Caenorhabditis elegans: one gene and its partners. The protein of the gene in region 1 purifies or fractionates together with the protein of each later gene. This does not show direct contact. Each region holds a gene or a part of one and is shown in the gene's direction. Other genes may lie near its edges.

Region 1 (4,808 bases):
TAAATTCTATAAAGAGTGTAAATCCGCGTAGTGGAATCACTTCCGACCGACATGGATCAAGCCGAACTCAATTTTAAATCATTCCTTTGTGGATGTGGATAAATTACTGAAAATTGTAATGCATACTTAATATTTTTGGTATCTGAGGATAAACAAGAAAAATTGGTAAACCGTAAAAAAATATTTAAACCGGTTCAAAATTTGAAAATCCACCCAAATTCTATGCTTCCTATGTACATATGAATGTATATATTTTTATTTTTGCGTTAACATAATATTTCTGCTACAAAATGCACGGATGTTCTTTATACGGGTGTCCATATACAGAACTACAGAACATAACATGTCAAATTTTCGCCAATGATTTTGAAGTTTCCGAAAATTGCCGAAAATGACAACTGAGAACCCGGAAAAACTTTCAACTGTTGCTTGGAAATGGTAGTACTGGAAACTGCGTTGTGTCCATCATTTTGATAATGGAGTAATTTTTTGTGAGATTATACTACATTTTTCCAAACTTCATCATATTAATCATCACTAAGAATCTCAGTACATATAATTGGTTTTCGGTTTCTAATCTGATTAGGAAGTTTTTGTGCACATCAGTGATCTTACAGTTCAGTTCACTTCGATCTCCTCGTTTTGCTTTCTCTGAGCGGAAATTTGGCATACTTCATAAGACTGACAAGTTTCTAGTCTTTGGCATTTTTTTTTCTCTTCTAATGTCTTACGAATTCAAACACAAGGCATTTTCGGTCAGCTCGGCAGGAATCACAGCGTCGATATTTGTTGTGGTTTTGAACATTAGACTTCTGTGGAAGTTTCAAAACTCTCCAATTAGGAAGAAACCGGAATATCATTTATACCAAATACGATTTTTTGTTGATATATGTTATTCAATCGCAGGTAATGTTTAATAGATTTTGGAAAATGCAATAAATTCTCACCCAGTGGGTGTCGCAGGCATAAAATTAATTCCTCTTTAAATCTATGTCTGATAGTATAGAGGCTCATATGATCAGGATAGTGCAAACCCTCAAAATGTCGAAAACGAAAAATCTTACATGGTTACAGTTAGTATATACTATGTTGCCTTGGATATATCTTACCTCTCTCCATTCTTTCTATTTCACTACAAGATATTGTTTGTCGTGACATTATTATCCTCAAACATCCTGTCCACCAGATTTTTCCTAGCTGCTCTGATTTCGATAGAAAGATTAATTGCAGTATTTTTGCCTGTTCAGTTTCATAATAATCGTCAAAAACTACCTGTTTTTATATTTTTCACTATGTTACTTTTATGGGGAATGTTTGAAGACGTTATGTATTTTTGGATCTGTGATATTTCTCCATTCATAAAAGATTGCTCAGTTCTGGGATGCACTTATAATGATTGCTTTTTGCAATACTGGACTGGTAGTAAATTGGTGTGAGTTTTAATTGTATTTATTTTCAATTAATACTTTTCAGGTAATTGGAGGATTCACTTGCTTAAGCTCTTTGGTTCTCTTTTTCAAACTTTTGGCATTGAAAAAAACCATGAATATTGTCAATTTATCAAAGGTAGGCAAATTTAGCCTTTAGTAATTAATACTTTTTTCAGACAAATTACTTATGTATTGGTGATTCATGTTTGACTCTTCTATTTGACTTTACGCCATTTCTTTTGACGCTTGTTCTCAGAACACAACTTTATTCTGCAGACGTAAGTGGAATTATTTTGAAAACTGTTTTGCTCAAACATTTTTTACAAAAGGCTTTGAAATTATTAGGTTTAAATAATTTGAGAAGTTTATAAACATTATAGTAATGACTTAGAAGAGCTGATAAATTATAATTTCAGATCTATGGGCCTTACAATGCTACTGCAAAAAGTACTGCATGCTTTATCGATGCCATGATTGCAACTTGGGTCTTGAAAAAACCATTAAAACCAACTCAAATTAGACAAATAAATTCACTGAAAAGAATTTCCGACCGACATGGATCTAGTAGAACATAACTTATAAATTTTAATTGTCAGATCATTTTCCCTCTTCTCTTGTTTTACTTCCCTTACGCGAAAAGCTTGCTAAACGATTCTTGTAAGCGAGATAGTACGAGACGCAAGCACAAAAGAAGGACACTATGCGATAGATACTGCTGTTGCCGTGTTGGCCTTCGATCAGTGTAAGAAAATAGAAAACGCAGTCGTAGACGCATTTGTAACCGCTCATCCACTTAGACTAATTCCACTCCCCAAAAACATTTATTTCTATTACTAAAAATCAAATGAAGTTTTTATATCGAACCACTTGTTTCCTGATTATTGTATTTTCATCGACAGTTTTTGCAAACGATAAGAGCTGGAAGGTATATTATTTAACAAATTGGAATTTTTCATTTAGCTTGACTTCGTGAAATATATCATAAAAACAATTGGAAGTACAGTTTCCAAACTATAAACGATATTAGGAAATTTAAAAAAAAACCACTTCTTCTTGAACAAACTATTCAATCGTTCAGGAAGATGACGGATTAGAAATAACGATAACATCGTCAATAGATGAGAGCGAATGCGAGATCAAATCCGCAGGTGGCGATGTAGTTGATCAGTACTACAAGTTGACAGATGAGAAGGGAGTTGAAATTGGAAGCAATTTTGGAAAGAAACCATATACATTCACGTTGGGAAGGAATCAAGTGATACCTGGAATGGATAGAGCTATGCGAGGAATGTGTATTGGAGAGATTCGAAAAGTTGTGATTCCCCCGAAACTAGGATTTGCGAAGTAAGCAAGGGATTATATTATTATTAGTTTCCTAAGGATAATTTGTTCCTGAGAAGTTTGATCATTGAAACCATACATGAAGTTTTTTTTTATAATTACAGAGACTCGACTGGTCAGCCACTCTATTACACTGTCCAGCTGGTGAACCTGTTCCGTGCGAATCCTGGGGAGAGATGGGTCACTGAAGAAGGAATTCAAATTGATCAGATTCACAAGATTGAAGCAGACAAATGTAAAAAAGCTGAAGCTGGCGACAAGATTTATCAGCAATATGTTTTGAGATTAGAAGATAACACACTTGTGGACTCATCTTATTCAAGAAATGCTCCGTTTGTATTTAGATTGAGAAACAGAGTAAGTTTTTTCAGTTATTAAAAAACCAACCGCATATAGGTAAATGAAATTTAATGAGAAAAAAAATCATCACAGATTTTTTTTGACACTCAATTTAATAAAATAAAATTTCTCTCCCGGCCACTTTTTGCCCAATTTACCAAACCTTGGACGAAAGTTTGTTTGAAGTTGGGCCAGATTTTGGATTTGTATTTTGAGTTAGAGTATTCGAAGTTTTGTCAGATTTTGGCAAAAATTGGTTTAAACATTTTTAAAACTTTGGTTTACTCTTTGAGTACCTATTAGAAGTTGATGTATGTAATATATGGTGTATGTAAATCCCGAGAATGTACGTTTTCATTTTTAATCTCATAACTGTCTGATGAAAATGTGGTTTGAGCTAGGTGTTATGTGGTTTATAAAAATTAAAGAAACTGGTTGTTACATTGGTTAATGAAATCTTATTTCACCTGTCATGTGAAATTTACAATTTTTTTACGTAGGGAGCAAATTACAAAACCCAATGAAAATTATGCTTAATTCTTTGTTTGAATTTTTTTATTAATATTATTCTTGTTTATTTGATCTTCAAAATTGAAATATTCTGATGATCTAGAAAAAAAAACATGAAAATATATATATCATGAAATTTTGGCGCAATATTATATGATCGGAAAAATTTTTTGTGGCAAAGTACATAATACAATATAATTTTAGGAAGTTATCGATGGAATGGATATTGCAATGGATGGAATGTGTGAAGGAGAACGACGTCGTGTTGTGATTCCATCTGAATATGGATACGGATCCCAAGGATCCCCACCAGAGATTCCCGGTGGTGCTCGTCTTTTCTTCGAAATTGTTCTAGAAAAGCTTGTTAAAAGAGATGAACTTTAGAGTGATTTCAGATGTTTTTTGTTTGATTAATTATTGAAAAGGACTTCCTGTTTCCGTTGAACGTTCTCTGTTAATGTTACATATGTACGTGTTTGTGCCATAAAAATTTCTTGATTTCTCGTAGATTTTTTCAAAAAACCAGCTGCAACGATTATCCGAAGCAAGCTTCTGTAGCCATCGGCTCTCATAAAGTCGGAGAGCAGCTGAAATTGAATTGAAAGACCAACCAACATCACTTCGTCATAAGTTTTCAGAAAGTGGGGAGTGTCGGCTGACTACTGCCAGTGTTAACCTACAATTTTCTTTTGATTTGTAATTGAGCTACAAAATTGTTAGAAAGACATTTAAATTTGAAGCTGTCGGTGCGAAATTTTCATTTTCATGTCAGAAGAGATATTGGTAACAATGCCCCATTCAACAGTGTGTAAGTTTTTTTTAATAAAGTGACATTTTTTCCTGCACGTTCCGGGAACTTGTGAATTTGACGTTCAAATTTAAATCATAAAATGTAGCGAAAATGTTTATTGGTGTACCTTTAAAGAACGTAACTCGCCTTGAAAGTGCTCATGTTGTACTAAAGAAGTTAATCTTGTCACAATTAAAAACTGTTACAGTAAAATAGGTATAGGTATCTGTTGAGAAATATGATGCCGTTCCCGTAAAGAATCAGGTGAATTTTTTGCGTTGAGTCATTTACTGTAAACAGTTTTTTTTTCAACTGAAGCAAACCACGCATCAAAATGTTTTATTGTTTCAGGTAACCCTACAATATTTTCATTATTTCTTGATGGAGCACTTCGCAAA
Region 2 (5,693 bases), on another chromosome or scaffold:
CATATGTTCAGTGAATACAAATGTCTTTATCAATATTTTCTACTTTTTGTTGTTCTTCCAAGGTTTCCGGATGTATTGAGAAGATTTTCTCTCTCGGAAAGAGCAAATGCACGCTGTGAGCACTGGTGACTGAGTCAGGAGGAAGAGAGAGAAGTGTGTCGAATGGCTTTTTCTCTGTATTTTTGCCCTAACACACGGTTTCTGTTTGCTTTTCGGACAGCCAAGAGGAAGAGATTCTATGTTTTCACTTTGTTCATTTTATGTAAATATCGTTTTTCTCTACCCAGCGCGCGAAACATCCTGCCTCAATTTTTTTTTGAAATTTCGATTCACCAACTATTTTTTAATCAACCTGATGGAACAATTCATTCCCCCAAAAATGATCAGAATGACTCAGTTCACAAATGCGCAAACAAACAGTCGCAAGTAGAGAAGTCATCAAGAGATTAGTCATTCTGCAGAAAATCCCAAAATTTACTGCTTTAACCCTTTGACTGTGAGACAGTATGAAAAGCGAAGAGATTTAGGGTCACCTAGAAGGAAAAGTTTTTAGTAAAGACCTACACACACGAACAATTAAATATACCACTACTACTACATACTTCTTGTGTCCGACTTCATACGAGTGAGAGACGACAGCCATTAAGGGCGGTCGTATGTTCCACTGAGCGCTCTGAACTGCTGCGTCTTAACGGACAGCCTCACTATTTCCCTTACTATCTTACTGCCGCCCTGAACTGGCCCAACACACACAAACACAATCAAAAGTGACTCACACACATCTTGGGGCCAATGTTTCTTTTTGATTAGTGTTATTAATATGTTTTCTATCCCTTTCAATTTCGTTTTCAAATAGATGAGTACATATGTAGAAAATCTAAAAAATGTGTTGAAATTAATCATCTATGCCGTTTTTCAATGTGAAAACCTATTTTTATTTAGATTTTAACCTGCAGATCGTTTAAAATGTTTTCATGAAAGCTTAAACCACCTTCAAACGCTCCAAATTTTAGATTTATTTTTTGAATTTCTAGCAGTACTGTTGACATTCTTTCTTGAACATTTGAATATTCTTTCTTCTGTTTTTTTTAGATCAGAAATATCTGTAAATATAAAATTTTAAGCGATGAATTACAGCTTTAGTTTTTTCTGTTTCAAAACAATTTAAATAATTTGAAACGAAACAAATTTCCTCCAAACTCAATTTTTCGCTTAAAATTAACCAGAAAGTGAAAATATTGCCATAATTAAAAATAATAAATTTGAAGCCGCTCAACTACCGTAACTTCAAAGGCACATGACTTTAAAAATCTATTCGTGGCGAGACCCATCCTCTTTTAACCTGATTTCTGAAAGTTTATTTGTTTCTCTTTTCCATCAAATTTTGTATCTTTGCATTGAAAATAATTGGGTATTTTCGCAAATTTTTGTCGGTCAGCCTATTAGTTTTCCATTTTTAATCGCAACGATCAGACCATAGAATCCGGAGTTTTTCATGCAAAAATGTGTGAGACACGCACGCGGAGACTCGACCGCGAGAAGATTAAGCTTTGATTCCAATTCAATCTCGCCTACCGGAAAAAAAAAACATCTCTCGAGACATTTCTTTAGTTTTCTGGAGGGTCTCTGCCTACCGCTGGCGCGGGAACGAGAGATGTTTGCTGGCGGCTACGCCCGTTCCGTTCTCTCATTTCCTGGTCAACTACCGAAAATGGTCTTTTAAACGATTTTTTACTTGAGATTCTTTATATTAACCCATAAATTTCTCGGCCTTAATTGAAAATTACCTCGTGACTCGATCAAATCGAGAAAAATGCACACCTTTGTGGCAAATTTGCCATATGTTGCGAAACATAGTGTGATTAATGGAGTACCATAGAGAAATAAGTTCTGCGTAGAAAGAAAATAAAAAAATGATAAGGAGACCATTCGGAGGCTTTTTATCGCGTCACTATTACAATTTTCCCTCGATTTTAGCTTAATAATTACAATATAGGTCGTCGAACCCTATATTGTATGTGTTCCAGATGACTCTCAACTATCATGCACACGGCAAGGAGATTGAAGCGTCGTATCGGCGTGCCAGTGATGACTCAGATGGCGATAAATGGGTGATTTTCGATTATGAAGGAAATTCGAACACATTACGAGTCAAAGAAGAAGGAAGTAAGTTCAGATTTCGTTGCTTTCCCTCCTAAAAATCTATTTATTTCAGCTGGTGGTCTTGAGGAGTTCGCCGACAGTTTCAGCTCGGGAAAGCTCCAGTTTGGTGTGATTTCGGTGCGACTGAGCAGTGATGTCTTCCCGAAAATCGTTTTGGTGCATTGGGTATGGAGTTTACGGCTAAATTGAAAGGAAAACGAAAATCGAAAAAATTCGTGATTACTAGGTCTTAAAAGTTGAATATTAACAAAAATCATGTCAATTTGCTTGCATTCCATGTTCCTCTCAAAAGATAACGCTATTGTGAGATTTTTTGCTGAAAATTTTTTTTAAAAATCCATTTGTAAAACAAAAACTGTAGTTTTTTCCAAAAATTCTTTGTCAGTTATGGTTTCAAATATTTTTAGAGATGTATCGAGATTTGTATACTTTTAAACACGAAGTTCCAGGAAAAAAACCATTTTAATGTTTGAATATTGCAGCAAGGCGAAGGAGTCCCCACACTGCGTTTGGCCTCAACGACACCGCACGCTGAAGAGTTCCGTAGATTCTTGAAAACAGTTCACATTGTGCTCCATGCCAGATCGGAAATCGACATCGAGCCGGACGCGATTCGAAAAGAGGTGCGAAAGCTCCCGGCGGCGAACGCCAACGCCATCGTCGAATCCACGTACAGCATGCCGGAGAAGGTGAATTCGGTGTACCAGCCGACGAATGCACACTCGGAGCTCAGCTCGGAGGCTCGCGAGAACTTCTGGAGCACAACAAATCAAGAGGAGAAGAGGTACTGTCTACATGAAATCGTGTCCTGAAAATCAAGTAATCACCTCTAAGAAGTTTCAGACGACAAGCCGACGAGAAAGTGGCTCATGCGAAACAGCAAAAGCAGTATGAAGCTGACCGTGATCGCACGGCCGCGGCAATTCACACAAAAGCCGAAGATTTCCAGCCGGAGAAGGTTAACTCGGTGTACAAGCCGACGAAGCCCCACGTTGAGCTGAAGACGGTCAAACGGGAGGAGTTTTGGAGCAAGATGAACGAGGAGGAGAAGCTGTGGGTGTTTTGAGTAATTTATTGAAATAGAATTCGCAATTTTAGGCGTCAAGAAGAAGAAAAAACCGCTCGTGAACAAGCACACAAGCAGTTCGAAGCGGATCGACAGCGAATGGCCTCGGAAATTCACTCCAAAACAGAAAACTATCAACCGGATAAGGTCACATCGGTGTACAAGCCAACAAAACCGCACGTGGAGATCAGTTCATCAGCTCGCGAAGAGTTCTGGAGCAAGATGAACGAGGAGGAGCAGCGGCGGCAAGCGGAGGAAAAAGAGGCACAGGCCCAGAAGCAGAAGGAATTCGAGACGGATCGAAAACGGATTGCGGATGATCTTCACGGGAAGGCTCAAATTAGTGATAAGCCCGTGCCATCTTCGGTGAATCCAGCTCCAGCTCCCGCCCCCACTCCGAGCGCAGGTCTCGTTGGAAGCAGAAAAGAATTATTCAGCTCAAAACCTTCCGGTCCAGTGCTTCCGAAGCCTCAAGTGAATGGATCGCCTAAGAAGTGGCCGCCAGTTGGCACGACCTCTCCGCCCCGTGAACCCGTTAACCGACTCACTGAGCCAGATGAGCCTTCGACGTATACGCCAAAGCCAATAGCTTATGAGCCAGAGCCAATGGTTTACAAGCCCGAGGCTATGAGTCAGTTTTCGTATAAAGTTTATTAGTCCTAATTTGAATATTTTCAGAACCTGCCGTCTCTTACGATGCATACGAAGAGCCACCAGCAGAGCCAGCTCCACCTACATTCCTTGCTCCAACCCCGGTCATTGCTCCACCTCCACCTGAGCCAACTCCAGCTCCATCGCATTACGCCTCCCAGTACGATGCTCCACCGGTTCACGAGTCTTTCGAACCAGCTGTACCTCCAGTTTCAGCTCCTTCCCACTATGCGTCTCAGTATGATGCTCCGCCGGAGCCGATCGACTCTCACTCATCGAGCTCTCAACTGCCAGCTCACATCGCCTCACAGTATGACATGCCTCCAGTGATGCCAGAGGAGCCCGTGTTTGCACCGAAATCCTCGCCAATAAAAGTCGCTGCTCCACCAATTGATCAGTACGATTTCCCGCCGGCGGTCGCCGAGCAGAACGCGATGGCTCTCTGGGACTACCAGGCTGCAGATGACACGGAGATCTCATTTGATCCTGATGACATTATCACAGATATCGATCAAGTCGATAGCGGATGGTGGAAAGGACGTGCGCCCAGCGGCCGCGTAGGCCTTTTTCCCGCTAATTATGTGAAGCTGATTTAATTTGTCTAGATAGCCTAACCGTTCTTTTTTACTAATTTATTGTGCAATGTTTTTTTCCCATTTTAAACTCAACAATCCGCGGTGCCTCCCATTCTCCCACTTCCTGTAATTTATTATACCATTACTTTTTATGTGCATTTTCTCCGTAAATGGCAATATGAATCGAAAATCGAAGAATCTGTTTTTATAATCAATTATTTCATTCACAGGACGATAATAAGCGCAGTCTCGAGTACAATATTGATGATGATAATGCTATTTAATTTATGAAATCACTGGGGGAATTGCAAATACGAAGTTGGCACGAATCCTGACTCTTCGTTGTGTTTCCTGCAACTTTCATTTTATTTACTTGGTAATTCTTTGTTACTTGTATTACTTTTTGGTTCGAGTCCATCCATCTCCGTGATCGTGTTCGAGTACGAGAAGAATTTCGCCCTGCTCGATGGACATGGTCTCCGCGGAGGATTTGGCAAATTCGAACAGTGCGGTTACCGTAACCGCTGTCTCGACTTTAACTGAATCGGGAGTCGATAAAGATTTGCGAATGGCACCTGCAAAAAATTTATACTTATATTTAACTATTTTTTCTTTTATAAAAGCTTTTAAAAGGAAAAAAATGGATTTTTAATTTAACCTGAAAATGAGGATCTGAGAATCTTTGGTGATGAGATTTCGGCTCTTCGTCGTAGTGGCGTCGGAGTTGAAGACTTCGAGGTTTTTGGCGAGGAGATAAGCCGTTTCGGAGTTGTAAACAGTTGGCGGAGCTGAAAAACGCACAGTGGGTCTCTAAACGAACAATCAATTATTTTTTATTGCGCCAAAAGTACGGTATTTCGACACGACAAATTTGTACTAAACGCGAAAAGGTGTACGTATTGAAGAATACTGTAATTTCAAATTCTCGTATTATCGGTTTTTGACTATGTCCTCTAATTTTTTTTGGTATTCAACGCTGAAATAGCCAAATTATTTTTTAATTTAAAGTGTTTCAGACAAAAAACCAAAAAATAAATTGGGAAAAATAAATGCACCGTTCTTCTCGGAGAGTACACGAGATGCGTAAATCGACACATAGCGGTGTTGCAACAACATGTTAGAAGTTTGCTTTAACGGTAATTCTTATATTTTTAAGTATAAGGAAGTTTTAAAATTGAGTAAGACTTCAGTAATTTGTTTTTTTTCCTGAAAAACAACTTTTGGCTGCTTACGATATT
Region 3 (8,375 bases), on another chromosome or scaffold:
TTTCGGGCAAAAAGGAGTTTTTCAAAAAATTGTATTTTGTAGTCGTAAAAATTAATTTAAAAGTTATAATTTTTTTTGGGTTCAGAGCTCAAAAAAAGTTTTTTTTGCCGTAATGAACTAAACGGAAAAAGTCTTAAAAACTTTTATAAAAGCTAGTTGAAACCTTAAAAAACGGTGCAAGAATTGAAAAAAAAAACTAATTTCATAGTTAAGATAGAAGTCGGGTTAGCAACCGAACAAAAAAAAGAAATTTCTTGTACATAAGCTGAAACGGTAATTTAATTTTTTTTTATTTTTAGGATGTTCCCGATGAAACATAATTTAGTGGAGCTCCGTCATGTTCTGGTAGTCCAGCAACATACCTAAAGTATTTTTTGTATTGTTTTTTGTTTTTGGACGAATTTTAATTTTCAGTCGGGGAGTTTAAAACAAAATTCGTAGTTTTTTTTTTTGGTTCTTTTACTAAGATTTTTACTAAATCAAAAACAAATGCCATTTTTATAAAAACTAATTGAAACTGTCAAATTGTAAAAATCTGTTTTTTTTTTCAAACATTGTGATTTAATTACAAACTTGCAGTGCCGTTTACATTCCATATTTGGATTGGATTAGAATTGGATCTTCCATAATAGGTAGGCGCGGTTTCAGGGACCTGACGCCTGCCTCGAATCGCATTTTTACGTTTTTTTCTCATTTCAATAATTTTGTTGAAAATCAAATTAAGATATGAAAAAACAAATAGTTCGTGTATGTTTTAGAATAAGGCGCGTATTGAGGCAAGAGGCAGGCGGAGATCGCCTTAAGGTCAGGCAGGTGGGAATTTGAACGCCTTCATGGAAACCTTAGTTTTTGTAATTAACAAGACATTTTGTAATTTACAGCAAATATCAGAAAAAGATTAATGAGAAATAAGAATGTTCACTAGTACATAGCAGCTAGTTGAAACTGCGATTTTATTTTATAGTCTCACGTTCAATTTGAGCCAAATTTGCGATTCTGAGCTTGAAGTAAAAATTGTGCAGGTGGTTTGGGTATACCGTGAGACTATCCAATAAATTTACAGTTTCAGCGTGTTGTACATAAGAACACGCTGAAACTGTAATTTAATTGGATAGTCTCACGGTCAATTTGACCCGTGTTTCGGGTGTTCCCGTAAGAAACATAATTTTCTAGAGCTCTATCTTGTACTGGAGCTCCTCAGAATCCTGGTGGTCCAGCAGCACACCTGGAGGACTAAAGTGCTGAACTGTTCTCTTAAATGTTCTGTTTTTTTTCGGGCCAAAAACCAAAAGAAAACTATATTTCAAAAAAAAAACTTTTTTATTTTTATTTTTGATCAAAAACTTTTTTTGGTAAGACCTTCCTCCTGTATTTTTTTTCAATTTCAAAAATTCTGCAAGAATTCAAAATGTTGTAATTTTAGTCGCTTCAGTGAGGAAATATAAAACTGCATCTACATAGCAACTAGCTGAAACTGTAATTTTTTATTTCATAGCCTCACGGTTAATTTCCACTAAATTCGCGTTAAATCCAATGTTCTATTTTATAATTTTTTATGGATGCTTTAAGCAAAATTTGGTATTTCTTTTCGAAATTCTTCGGACCAAAAAACAAACAAAAAACAGAAAAAACTGTTTTTCCAAAGATTTTAATTCGTTTTACAGTTTTAACTTACAAATGTGATGTAGGTAGTAAGCAACAAATAAATTGCAGTTTTATAACAACTAGTTGAAACGGTCAAATTTATAAGCTCTGAAAGTTGTGTTTCCAATAAAACTCTTAATATATATCACCGATTTATAACAACTAGCGGAAACAGTAACTAAAAAATTAATTTTATAAATAATTTTAAAGTCCCAATGTTCTATTTTCGAATTCTACCCAATCGCGAGATTCTGCATTCAGATCTTATCATCTTTCTCTTCCAAATACACACACACACACCTTGAAACTAACCAATAAAAATGCAATCATCCGACCGTTTCGTCGTCGTCAAGGATCGTAACCTGGAACCAGAAGACGAGAATCATCAAAACAGAGAATTTTATGGCGGTGATCTATTGGGCGGGAAGGAACATACCACGTGGGAGAAGGGGGAGGAGAAGTCGAACATTCACGAGAAATCTTTCATTGCTGATCAGAATAAGTTCGGTTTTGTTGGCAAATTTTGAGGTTAGTTTTTTGATGAGTGCCGAAATTTTACCGAAATTTGGAATTCGGCAATTGTCAATTTTATGAACTATACCAATAAATTGTATTAAAACTTCTAGAATGCTCTAGAAAAATCTGGAAACTACTAGAATTTTCTAGAACAAAACTGGAAACTTCTAGAAATTTCCAGAGAAATCTATAAACTTCTGTAATTTTCTAGAAAAATGTGGGAACTTTAAGAATTTTTTAGAAAAATCTGGTAACTTCTAGAATTTTCTAGAAATTTTTTTTTAAATTTTATTTTTTAAAAATTACTGTTTCATCACATTGAGAAAATGTTTTTACTGTTGATTTTTCTAATTTCGTATACTGTTGACTCGGTTTGTGAAGACTCAATTTTCCAGCATGAACATCCCATCTCTCTTCGTCGACCCATTCTCTCCGCTCCTCGAGCATCCAACGGAGCAACGTGCCAAGAATGTGGCTCACGCACCAAAGCGTCCGTGTAATCTTACACAGACAGAGAAAATGGTAATAAATTTATCTTTGAAAAGATAAAAAAAATGTACTGTTTCATTAAAAACGTTTAGGCACTTGACTTGGAATTTTTTCTTTTCAAATGAATTTTTTGAAACTGCAAAAACAGTTTCATTGTTTCATTGAGCGCTTTAAAGAAGACTGTGAAACATAATCTTTGACAAGTTGGCTGAAAATGAGCCTAAACTAACAAATTTTTTAGAAAAATTTGGCTAAACTCTGAAATTTTTTGCCTAGTTTTTAATAAAATTAGCTTTTTTTTGTTGCATCAAGAAGTTTAAATGCTACACTGACTAACTAATAGAACTTTTTACAAATTGAAATGCAATATTTGGAACAGTGAACATTTTTACCTTTAATTTTTCAAATCTACTCCTAATTATGGTAAACTATTTGCAATGAGATCAATGTTATAATTTATTGTTCCGACATCTCCCGGGTTGCACAGTGTTCTCTGTGCTCGGCGCAATTTGGGAGATACCAATTAATTGAATGAAGTTGTTGTGCCAATTCTAGTTCAGAAAAAAGTAAGAGAAGACTGTAACAAAATTTACAATTTTTTTGCAATTTTGGAGCAGTTTTTGAAGTCGGTAGGCTATGTAGTTTTCGAGATCAAGAACAATCAAGAAGATCAAGAATCAGATCAAATTTTAATTTAGGAGCTGAAAAGCTGTTGGCTATTAGTTACAAAAGTCTGTTTCACTTACTTGATAAAATACAAGTGGAATTCCAAAATTTATTGTTTCGAACTTCAATGCAGGTCCCAACCAGCTTCAACTATAAAATTCTTCCAGCTCGCCGTCCGCAATGCTCTCCGCTACATTCCAAAAGAGCATCACGTCCTTCTAGCCACCGAGTTCGCTGAAGAGCTCAACACCTATGGACACATCTATGGGTATCGGTTCATGCCAAACTTTGATCTATTCGCGCCGCCCGTCTCGGAGATCGGAGCTCATTGCGAACAAGCATCGGCTATCATTTTGATGATTCTAAACAATTTGGACAAGCGGGTTGCCCAGTTTCCACAGGAATTGGTGACTTATGGAGGAAATGGTCAAGTTTTTAGGTTAGCATGGGAATCTTTCTGAAATGCTTGAGAAATGATATTTCAGCAATTGGATCCAATTCCGTCTGGTTCTTCGTTACCTCTACACAATGACTGACCATCAAACTTTGGTGCTCTATTCCGGACACCCATTGGGCCTATTTCCATCAACCCCGGACTCGCCAAGAATGACTGTTACTAATGGAATGGTAGGCCTTTGGAAACTAGGATGCTTCGTACATTTTGACATTTCAGATGATCCCGAGCTACTCGACAAAGGAGCTGTACGACAAGTATTTTGCATTAGGAGTGACGCAGTACGGACAAATGACTGCTGGAAGTTTCTGTTATATTGGACCACAGGGAATTGTACACGGGACTACGGTAAGCCGTTAAATGGAGTTTGGCATTAAAACACCGTATTACCGTCAAATTTAATGAACACACTAAAACAGTCAAATTTATTTTGGAAAATGGGCAAAGCAGAAGGTTTTCAGTATACAACGGTTTTAGATGGAATTTCAAAGGCAAAAATTCAAGGATTTCAAGATTTTTGTTTTTTTTTCTGAATATGATTCTTGTCATTTATATAATCCAAACTGCACCAATGTAGTAGAGAAGTGACTCAAAGAAAACATGTTATTTCTAATAACTAACTCAGCCCTAAAATATACGGACACTGTGAAACATTAAATTTTTGTAAATTTTATTTTTTTTTTTAAATAGTTATATAATGAACCAAAGCTGAAGTTTTGGCATTAAACACCTTATTACTGCCAGAATATATGAACACACTGAAACAGTAAATTTTATTCTGGGATATGGGCTACACAGAAGGTTTTCAGTATACAACGGTTTCAGATAGTATTTGAATGATTTTTGTTAAGTTTTTGTGTATTATTCTAGTTATTTTATAATCCAAACTCCACCAAAGTAGTAGAGAAGTGGCGTCAAGAAAACTTGATATATTGCTTTAATTTATAGCGGTGTTCTCTTGAAAACCTTCCTAATAGCTAACTCTCTAAGTCCTAAAATATGTAGACACAATGAAACAATAAATTTCTGAAATTTGTAATTTTTTTTTCAAGAGTTACATAATGAACCAAAGCTGATAATATTTTGTCCCACTGAAAAAATTTACTTACTTCAACTAACCACAGTATTTATTAAAGAGTGATAATTTAACAAAAATTTAGTTCCAGACACTTAGAAGATGACAAAATTTTTGATTTTAGCTGAAAATGAGACCTTTTTTATCAGAACTTTGAACCGCCATAACTTTTTTTTTTGAGAAATTTTCAAAATGTCTCGTTACGAAATTCAGTAGTTTTTGGGGAATCTTGGGTCGGAAAAAGCAAAATCTCAGATTTCGGTACTCCACCTTAAATAGAGTCGAATAGCTATCTTACAAAGCCCTAAAATATGTAGAAACTGTGAAAAAATAAATTTTTGTAAATTTTATTTTTATTTTTTCAGTAGTTACATAATGAACCAGAACTGATAACATTTTTTTTTAATTTGAATTTCGTAATTTTCTTAAGGTTTTTCAAAATTGACTTATTAGAAGCAGAAAGTTGAAAGTCTTTTCACTTTATAATATTTTAAAGAAATCTAAATGATTCGAGACCAGATGCAACAGATTACAGCTTTTCTACCCATATAGAAAAATAGTGACGTCACTATATGAGTTTTTCTCGATCTATTCTTCTTGTCCGATTAATTTCATCACAACTCTCCTGAATTTCTGAACCCCCTGAAACAGTAAAAATTCTCCAGATCACAGTCCTCAACGCTGGTCGTCGTATGGGACTGGATTCCCTTGCTGGTAAGGTTTTCGTAACTGCAGGACTTGGAGGAATGAGTGGAGCTCAACCAAAAGCAGCTAAGATTGCTGGATGTATTGGAGTTATTGCGGAAATTAGTGATACTGCATTGTTGAAACGTCATCAACAGGGATGGTTGGATGTATATTCGAAGGATCTTGAGGAAATTGTGAATTGGATTAAAGAGTACAGAGAGAAAAAAGAGGCAATTAGTATTGGATATTTGGGGAATGTTGTTGACTTGTGGTGAGTTTTAGAAAATTTTACTGTTTCAGAAAGTTGTTAAATTTTTTTATGAAAGTGTGAAAGGCGATCTACGGAGCAAGAGGGAAAATAATTAAAGGAAACGAGAAAAGCGGAAAAAATTGTAATACAAATAATATATCTCATAGTTTCGGAACCAAGATTTTTTTTAAATTACAGAATTTTTTACAAAGATTTTTCACAATTAATAAACTTGGTAAAACATTATTCACAAAAATTCTAGACAAAAAACTATGAGTTTTCAAAATTCCAGGGAACGGCTCGCCGAGGAACCGGAATGTCTTGTAGAACTGGGAAGTGACCAAACTTCTCTCCACAATCCATTCCTTGGAGGTTTTTACCCTGCTGGACTCACTTTTGAACAATCCAATCAAATGATGACTTCTGATCCTGTAAAATTCAAAAAACTTGTTCAAAACTCTTTAATCCGCCAAATCGCCGCCATCGACAAGATTGCTGCAAAGGGAATGTACTTCTGGGATTACGGTAATGCTTTCCTTTTGGAATGCCAGAGAGCTGGAGCCAATTTGCTCAGAGAGGATGCTCAGGATGATAAATCGTTTAGATATCCAAGTTATATGCAGGATATTATGGGGTAATAATTATTTGAAAAGAGTACAATTTAAATAAAATAAATTCTGTTTCAGAGACATCTTTTCAATGGGATTTGGACCATTCCGATGGGTTTGTACTTCTGGAAAGCCGGAAGATTTGAGATTGACTGATCAGACAGCATGCAAGATTATTGATGAGTTGAAGGATACTGATGGTGAGTGCTTTTATGTTGTAACAAAAAAATCGACTGTTTCACTATGGCTATATGTATGTTCACTATTTTGAGAAATTTGATGGGTTCAGTGTGTGTATCTTTGAAATTTAGTACTAATCTCATAAAATTGAGCATTTGTTGGCGAGAAATCATATATATGCTGTTTCATATTGTCCATAAAACTGCCGACGAATTTTGACTTTAATTTTTAATATTTGTTAGGAAATTTAGGGATGTGAAGCTGTTGAAAAAAAAAAAGAAAAACGAATAGCCAGTGTAATATTCTTGAAACCGTAAATAACTACTAAATAAAATAGCGTACTGTTTCGAGAAGTTTATATAATTTTCGCTTTTTGAAAGAGGTTATTCCGGAAATATTGCTAAAAAAAAGCAGAAAACTTCTACAATTTCGCATAGTCATTAAAGTATGTTCGATTATTTTATTTTATTAATTTTGCTGAATTAAAAAATAACATATTAAAGGTGGAGTACCGAAATTAGTGACTCTGTTTTCTTAGACCAAAATGAGTCCAAACCTACCGAATTTTGTAATGAGACGTTCTGAAAATTTCTCAAAAAAAAAAGTTATGACGGTTCAAAGTTTTAGAAAATAAGGCCCATTTTCAGCTAAAATCAAAATTTTTTCCAACTTCTCGGTGTCGCAACGTCTGGAATTGAATTTTCATTTATTCATCACTTTTTAATAAATATTGTGGTCATTGATTGGGCGTTTATTCGTTGATTTAACTACATTTATGGTCTTTGGGGCACAAATAAAAGTTACATTTTGTGCCTCACTGACCATAAATGTACTTAAATCAACGAATAAACGCCCAATCAAAGGCCACATTATTTATTAAAAAGAGATGAATAAATAAAAATTCAATTCCAAACGTTGCAACACCGAGAAATTAGATAAAATTTCGATTTTAGCTGAAAATGGGCCTTATTTTCTAAAACTTTGAACCTTCATAACTTTTTTTAAAGAAATTTTCAGAACGTCTCATCACAAAATTCGGTAGTTTTGGGCTCATTTTGTTCTAAAAAAACAGAGTCTCTAATTTCGGTACTCCACCTTTAAGAGTAGAAACATGTAGTTTTAGGGGAACTCATCAGGTTATTTATCAAATTTATGCTTGGAAAAGTTGAAAGTCTACCGAAAATGTCTTTTCCGCTGAAAAAAATTAACATCGTTCCCGGAAACCCGGGATATGTCGTACCATGATGAACAATTCACAAAGTGTCGACCGCAAAGCAAGTATACCAAAACGAGAGATAGGAGATGCGGTTTGAAAACAAGTTGAATTTGAGAATTTTTCACTGTTTCCAACTTTGCATTTTAATTTGTAACGTATTGTATTAGACAATTTGTAAAAAATTATGTTTTTTATTATCTTCAAAATACTATGATCCTGAATGAATTATTTGAAATGGGTACCCTTAACTTTAACAAATATTCGCTCTTAAAAATTCTGAGAAAATTTGCAAAAAATCACCACGTCTTCTTCTTGAATGGGTACCACTGAAAATTAATTGGGTTGTTATTTTTATTCCGAAATATACTCACACTGCTGCCAAGTTTTGAAACTTTCTGTTTCTAGCAGAGACATTGATTTTTTCATTTTGAGAACCAAAAATCGAATCATTATTTTTTGCTAGTTTAATAAGGCTGAGCAAATCAAACCACCAACTCCAAATTTCAAAGCACATTTATCATGTTTCATAGACTCTGTTAAACCAACGTTTCAGTCCCCGAATACGTGAAACAGCAATATTTGGACAACAA
Region 4 (4,077 bases), on another chromosome or scaffold:
CCAAAAAAATCAACAAAACAACTCCAAAGTACAAAAGAAATTAGAAGTACCATTTTTCTATTTATTGTATAATTTACAGTGACGATACAACTCGTGATTGGATTCTCGAAGAAGTTCCAATAGAGACTCTCATTCGACACGTTGAAAAATCAGATGAACGAATTGCTCTTTGTGCACTTTCACTAATGAATTCAATGATAAGAAGATGTCCTGATGATGAAAAACGATTTGAACTTATTAAATCTTTAGAAGTCGTTCCATTCCGTAATGCTGTACACAGTTCTCTTCTACGTGGTGGTGGTGGTGTTCGAAATCTGAATGCTATTGAACAACTTGTTGAGGTTCAAAGGAGTCTGATTAGTGCATATGAAACTTCACCTCCTACTGATGCTGAAGTTCAGAAAATTCTTGATATTGAATCCAGTGAGGATGTTTCCGAGGAGATCAGAGAAATGTGGAAATCACAAATTGGGGAACACCGATGTGGACGGTTGGCTGCAATTTCGATGGTTCAATTTGCAGAAAAAAGTCCGCAAGATCTGAGAATGCTAATTTCGGAGAATACAATGAGGATTGAAGGAGGAAAATGGCAACTGATTCCAATGTGGATGAGGTTTTTTTGCAAACGTAAAGATGTTCTGATGATTTTTTAAATTCAGGTGCTGTGACATTGCCGCAGAATTGTTCAGAGTAATACCTGGTCGTGATGAGTTGGATCGTTTGATTGTAGTTCTCTTTTCCACGGAGACTCCATTTCCAGCTGTATTCGCATGTATTGTACACCTTTTCCATCGAACATGGCGTGAGATGCAGGCAAAAGGAGGTGAAATGGAGAAAGTTGCGTGTGTTGTACTGGAACAGTTACGGCATGTGCTGAAAAGACGGGAAATACAAGATGTAGAAGAACTATCTGCGGATTTGGAGACTTTTTCGTATAGGGCAATGCAAGAAATTTGGAGAGAGGAACAATTGGGAAAGGAAAATATTCAATTACATAGTGAAGCTGTGATGTAAGTCTGAAAATTCCAATAACTTATTCGTATACATATTTTCAGACAACTAAAATCGAAATTGCGGCCAAAAATGGAGGAATTGGTTCGAATAAATCATCTAAACTATTTGAAGTTAGGCGCCGTTTTTCGAAAACCACAGAAAAGTAAATCCCTCGCAAAGCTCGCCTTCTGGCATTGGAAGCTCGATGCATCGGAGAAAATGCTCACTATAACTGGATGTGATGGTGAGAACTATGTGGAAGGTGTGCAGAGAGATGATATTCGGCAAGGTTGGGGGAATATTGAATTAGTTCTCAAATAATAAATTAATTTATTTTCAGTTTGGATCAAAGATATTGCTGATGTAACAAATAATGATGAGATTGATAGAAAAGCAAGCTCATCTCGATTCACTTCTTCTCCATCTACACAAATGTTAAGAGGGATTCGTGTACAATTAAAAACAACAAATGATATGAAAGAAGGCGAAGTTTTAATGGCATTGACATCCGATGAAACTCAATCTGTTATATGGCTTGAAGGTCTTGCTGAATTGATTGGGAGCAAGGCAGTTAAAAGGTATCTAGACATTGGTTACTGTAGTTACAGTAACCTGAAGAATAGGAAGCCCCGAAAATACCAATTGAAATATTTTCAGTGAAACCGATGCAATGGTTGAACGAATGCTGAAAATGGAGCTACGAGTTCGCCTTCTCAATGTGAAACTCACGAACCCCGAGGAGAAACCAGAAATTCCACCGATCCCTGACGATATCAAAAGCTTTATTTCAAAGTTTTAATCATATTCAAGCTTTATCATTCTTACGTGCATTTTACCATATTGAAAGGCAAAACATTTCCATGTGCATAATAAATTTTGTAATTTATGCCTATTACTGTGTATTTAACTTAATTTGAATAACGAGCCATTAACTACAGGCCACTAACAGTTTTCTGAATCTCTTGAAAACAAATTTTTGACCAACATTTTCAGATGAGTGCTATAAAAGAGGTAAAATCAGAGCTCAGGCAGTTTATGAAGACATTGCTCGGAAAAATTTCGAAAGAAGAAACTCAACGTCAAACAGAGGCGGTTTTTGAAAAAATAATTGAATCGAAATGGTTTCAAGAGAGCAAGAGATTGTCAGTTTATGTTAGTACATCGGGAGAAATACAAACTGATTCGATTATTCAAAAAGCGTTGGAAATGGGAAAAGAAGTTTTCATTCCACAGGTAAAATTTATTTTGAAACAGATGCGCAATAGATGTTAAGATGTAGGCATGTAGGTAGGCACATAGGCAGGCAGAAATAAAGCAGGTAGGCCGACAAGAAGTAGGCAGATATGAGCTATGAATAAAGGCAGGCAGGCACGTAGCCAGGCAGAACTAAGGCACTTGCGAGGTAGGCGTAAAGTAGGCCCCTAGACATGAAGGCTGTAATCGTTTGTAGTAGGCAGGCAATTAGTACCTAGGCAGATATTATATATGAATCCAGGGAGACAGGCACGTACAGCAAGTATAATTTATTGAAGTCACAAATGTAAAAATTTCAGTTCACGAAGGGCTCAACTGCAATGGATATGGTTCGAGTTCCGGATCAAACTGCTTTTGACAATCTTCCTTCAACACTTTGGGGAATCAGACAGCCAGAACCGAAATGGAAATGGCAAAGCTATCATGAAACAGGTGTGACTGCTTTTTAATAATATAACTCCAATTTATAAGTACTTACAGGACCACTGGATTTGATCCTTGCACCCGGCGTTGCCTTCTCACCATATGGACTTCGTTGTGGTCATGGAAAAGGATATTACGATCGCTTCTTCTCCACTCATCACAAACATTTTCCAGAAAACTCCCCAAAAAAGATAGGATTGGCTCTTCGTGAGCAAATTATTGGTACAATTCCTATTTCTGAAACTGATGTTGAACTTGATGAGGTTATCTATGAAGGAGAAACTATTATTTTTGATACTATTTAAGGCTTCACACTCTAAATAATATTCCCGATTGTGATATTGAGATTTTTTTTTAAATTTCTCTCGCCAATTTATAAGTGATTTTTCAGACATTCCTCAAATGGTTTTGTGATACAATTTCTTGCATTTGTTAACTGAATAAACTTTTTTGAACTACAGTTATATATAATTTTTTCATAGATTATTCAGTCATTAGTTAGAAGCATTCTAGCCTTCCGAGGTGTTTCAATTTTAGGTCCCACCACGAAAACTTGTGGAGATGTTCTGAAATGCCCCATAGAACTGCATAGCATTGTCCCAAAAGCCTGTAAATATATCTGAAAACTTGCTCACACAAAACGAAAGGATTCAAAGGCCTGAAGACATTAATTAGCAAAAATTAGATACATTCAATGGTTTCACTAATATCACACAGTTCAGATAGACCGAGATGAGGACTGATGTAGTTAAATCGATATATGATAGAAGCCCTGTAATTTACATGAAGAGCAACTACACGAAACTGAACAAAAATATTCATTTAAAGTCAATACATAGTAATCATTGTTCACTCTCAAACTTGTTGAACACGAGGTCAATTTTGGTCTCCCGATCCGCACTGCAAATATTATTATTTCAAAAAGGTTATCATGATCAACATACCTTTGCTTTTTCTCCCTTGCTTGACGAGTGGTCACTCTGACTTCGAATCCCTGGAAAGCTTGAAAGGTGGAACATTATCATATATCATATACTCTACATACCTCTGCTCTAATAGCTCCAATTCTACGGCTCAAGTGTTTCCAGCAACCTTCATCAAAAGCCAATCTCTTCTTCATTGTCCACATGAATCCATTCGAGTGTTCAAATGCATTTTTTGCGTGAAGAACTGATTGAGCAGGATCTCTGTTTTCTCCAGCAAGAAGAAAAGCAAAATGTGGATTGGTTTCATCGAGGACGAATTCTTGCTCTGCTTTCGAGTCTTCTTTTTTCTTTTCCTTATCTGGAGATGCCATTTCTTTTAGTTCCTTTGAATCACTTTTATTTCCACATGCAACACTTCTATCTTCTGACATTGTCTCATTAATCAATGGTTTTTCAGGTTCCTTTTCCTCCTTCTTGATCT

The links.
Region 2: the proteins of fkb-4 (region 1) and dbn-1 fractionate together in Caenorhabditis elegans (co-fractionation; one large-scale study listed by BioGRID). This does not show direct contact.
Region 3: the proteins of fkb-4 (region 1) and uroc-1 fractionate together in Caenorhabditis elegans (co-fractionation; one large-scale study listed by BioGRID). This does not show direct contact.
Region 4: the proteins of fkb-4 (region 1) and Y106G6E.4 fractionate together in Caenorhabditis elegans (co-fractionation; one large-scale study listed by BioGRID). This does not show direct contact.

Annotation. Positions count from the first base shown.
Region 1 is NC_003283.11:12,784,466-12,789,273, reverse strand, and holds fkb-4 (peptidylprolyl isomerase), read left to right. Parts: upstream 1-2,147; 5' UTR 2,148-2,274; coding exon 2,275-2,355; intron 2,356-2,508; coding exon 2,509-2,774; intron 2,775-2,875; coding exon 2,876-3,128; intron 3,129-3,824; coding exon 3,825-4,004; 3' UTR 4,005-4,121; downstream 4,122-4,808. Other genes in the region: srbc-43 (Serpentine Receptor, class BC (Class B-like)), read left to right, coding at 1-77; srbc-44 (Serpentine Receptor, class BC (Class B-like)), read left to right, coding at 723-906, 1,075-1,430, 1,474-1,566, 1,607-1,708, 1,847-2,005; sre-20 (Serpentine Receptor, class E (Epsilon)), read left to right, coding at 4,410-4,428, 4,762-4,808.
Region 2 is NC_003281.10:13,758,404-13,764,096, reverse strand, and holds dbn-1 (DreBriN 1/DreBriN-like (where Drebrin is from Developmentally REgulated BRaIN protein) family homolog), read left to right. Parts: upstream 1-2,027; coding exon 2,028-2,166; intron 2,167-2,215; coding exon 2,216-2,328; intron 2,329-2,645; coding exon 2,646-2,947; intron 2,948-3,006; coding exon 3,007-3,216; intron 3,217-3,261; coding exon 3,262-3,860; intron 3,861-3,907; coding exon 3,908-4,476; 3' UTR 4,477-4,653; downstream 4,654-5,693. Other genes in the region: toca-2 (Transducer of Cdc42-dependent actin assembly protein 2 homolog), read right to left, coding at 4,749-4,812, 4,856-5,030, 5,114-5,243, 5,688-5,693.
Region 3 is NC_003282.8:16,536,504-16,544,878, reverse strand, and holds the start of uroc-1 (putative urocanate hydratase), read left to right. Parts: upstream 1-2,129; 5' UTR 2,130-2,172; intron 2,173-2,511; exon of another isoform or gene 2,512-2,532; intron 2,533-2,555; 5' UTR 2,556-2,556; coding exon 2,557-2,682; intron 2,683-2,960; exon of another isoform or gene 2,961-2,985; intron 2,986-3,425; exon of another isoform or gene 3,426-3,452; intron 3,453-3,482; coding exon 3,483-3,754; intron 3,755-3,800; coding exon 3,801-3,942; intron 3,943-3,988; coding exon 3,989-4,117; intron 4,118-4,121; exon of another isoform or gene 4,122-4,142; intron 4,143-4,153; exon of another isoform or gene 4,154-4,174; intron 4,175-4,470; exon of another isoform or gene 4,471-4,491; intron 4,492-4,721; exon of another isoform or gene 4,722-4,742; intron 4,743-5,108; exon of another isoform or gene 5,109-5,129; intron 5,130-5,428; exon of another isoform or gene 5,429-5,449; intron 5,450-5,509; coding exon 5,510-5,802; intron 5,803-5,869; exon of another isoform or gene 5,870-5,890; intron 5,891-6,073; coding exon 6,074-6,415; intron 6,416-6,467; coding exon 6,468-6,589; intron 6,590-6,669; exon of another isoform or gene 6,670-6,690; intron 6,691-6,794; and 11 more.
Region 4 is NC_003279.8:10,220,688-10,224,764, reverse strand, and holds Y106G6E.4 (putative 5-formyltetrahydrofolate cyclo-ligase), read left to right. Parts: upstream 1-1,986; coding exon 1,987-2,226; intron 2,227-2,546; coding exon 2,547-2,679; intron 2,680-2,727; coding exon 2,728-2,975; 3' UTR 2,976-3,123; downstream 3,124-4,077. Other genes in the region: ced-12 (Cell death abnormality protein 12), read left to right, coding at 80-613, 660-1,010, 1,056-1,282, 1,334-1,571, 1,651-1,792. UniProt on the Caenorhabditis elegans protein: Contributes to tetrahydrofolate metabolism. Helps regulate carbon flow through the folate-dependent one-carbon metabolic network that supplies carbon for the biosynthesis of purines, thymidine and amino acids.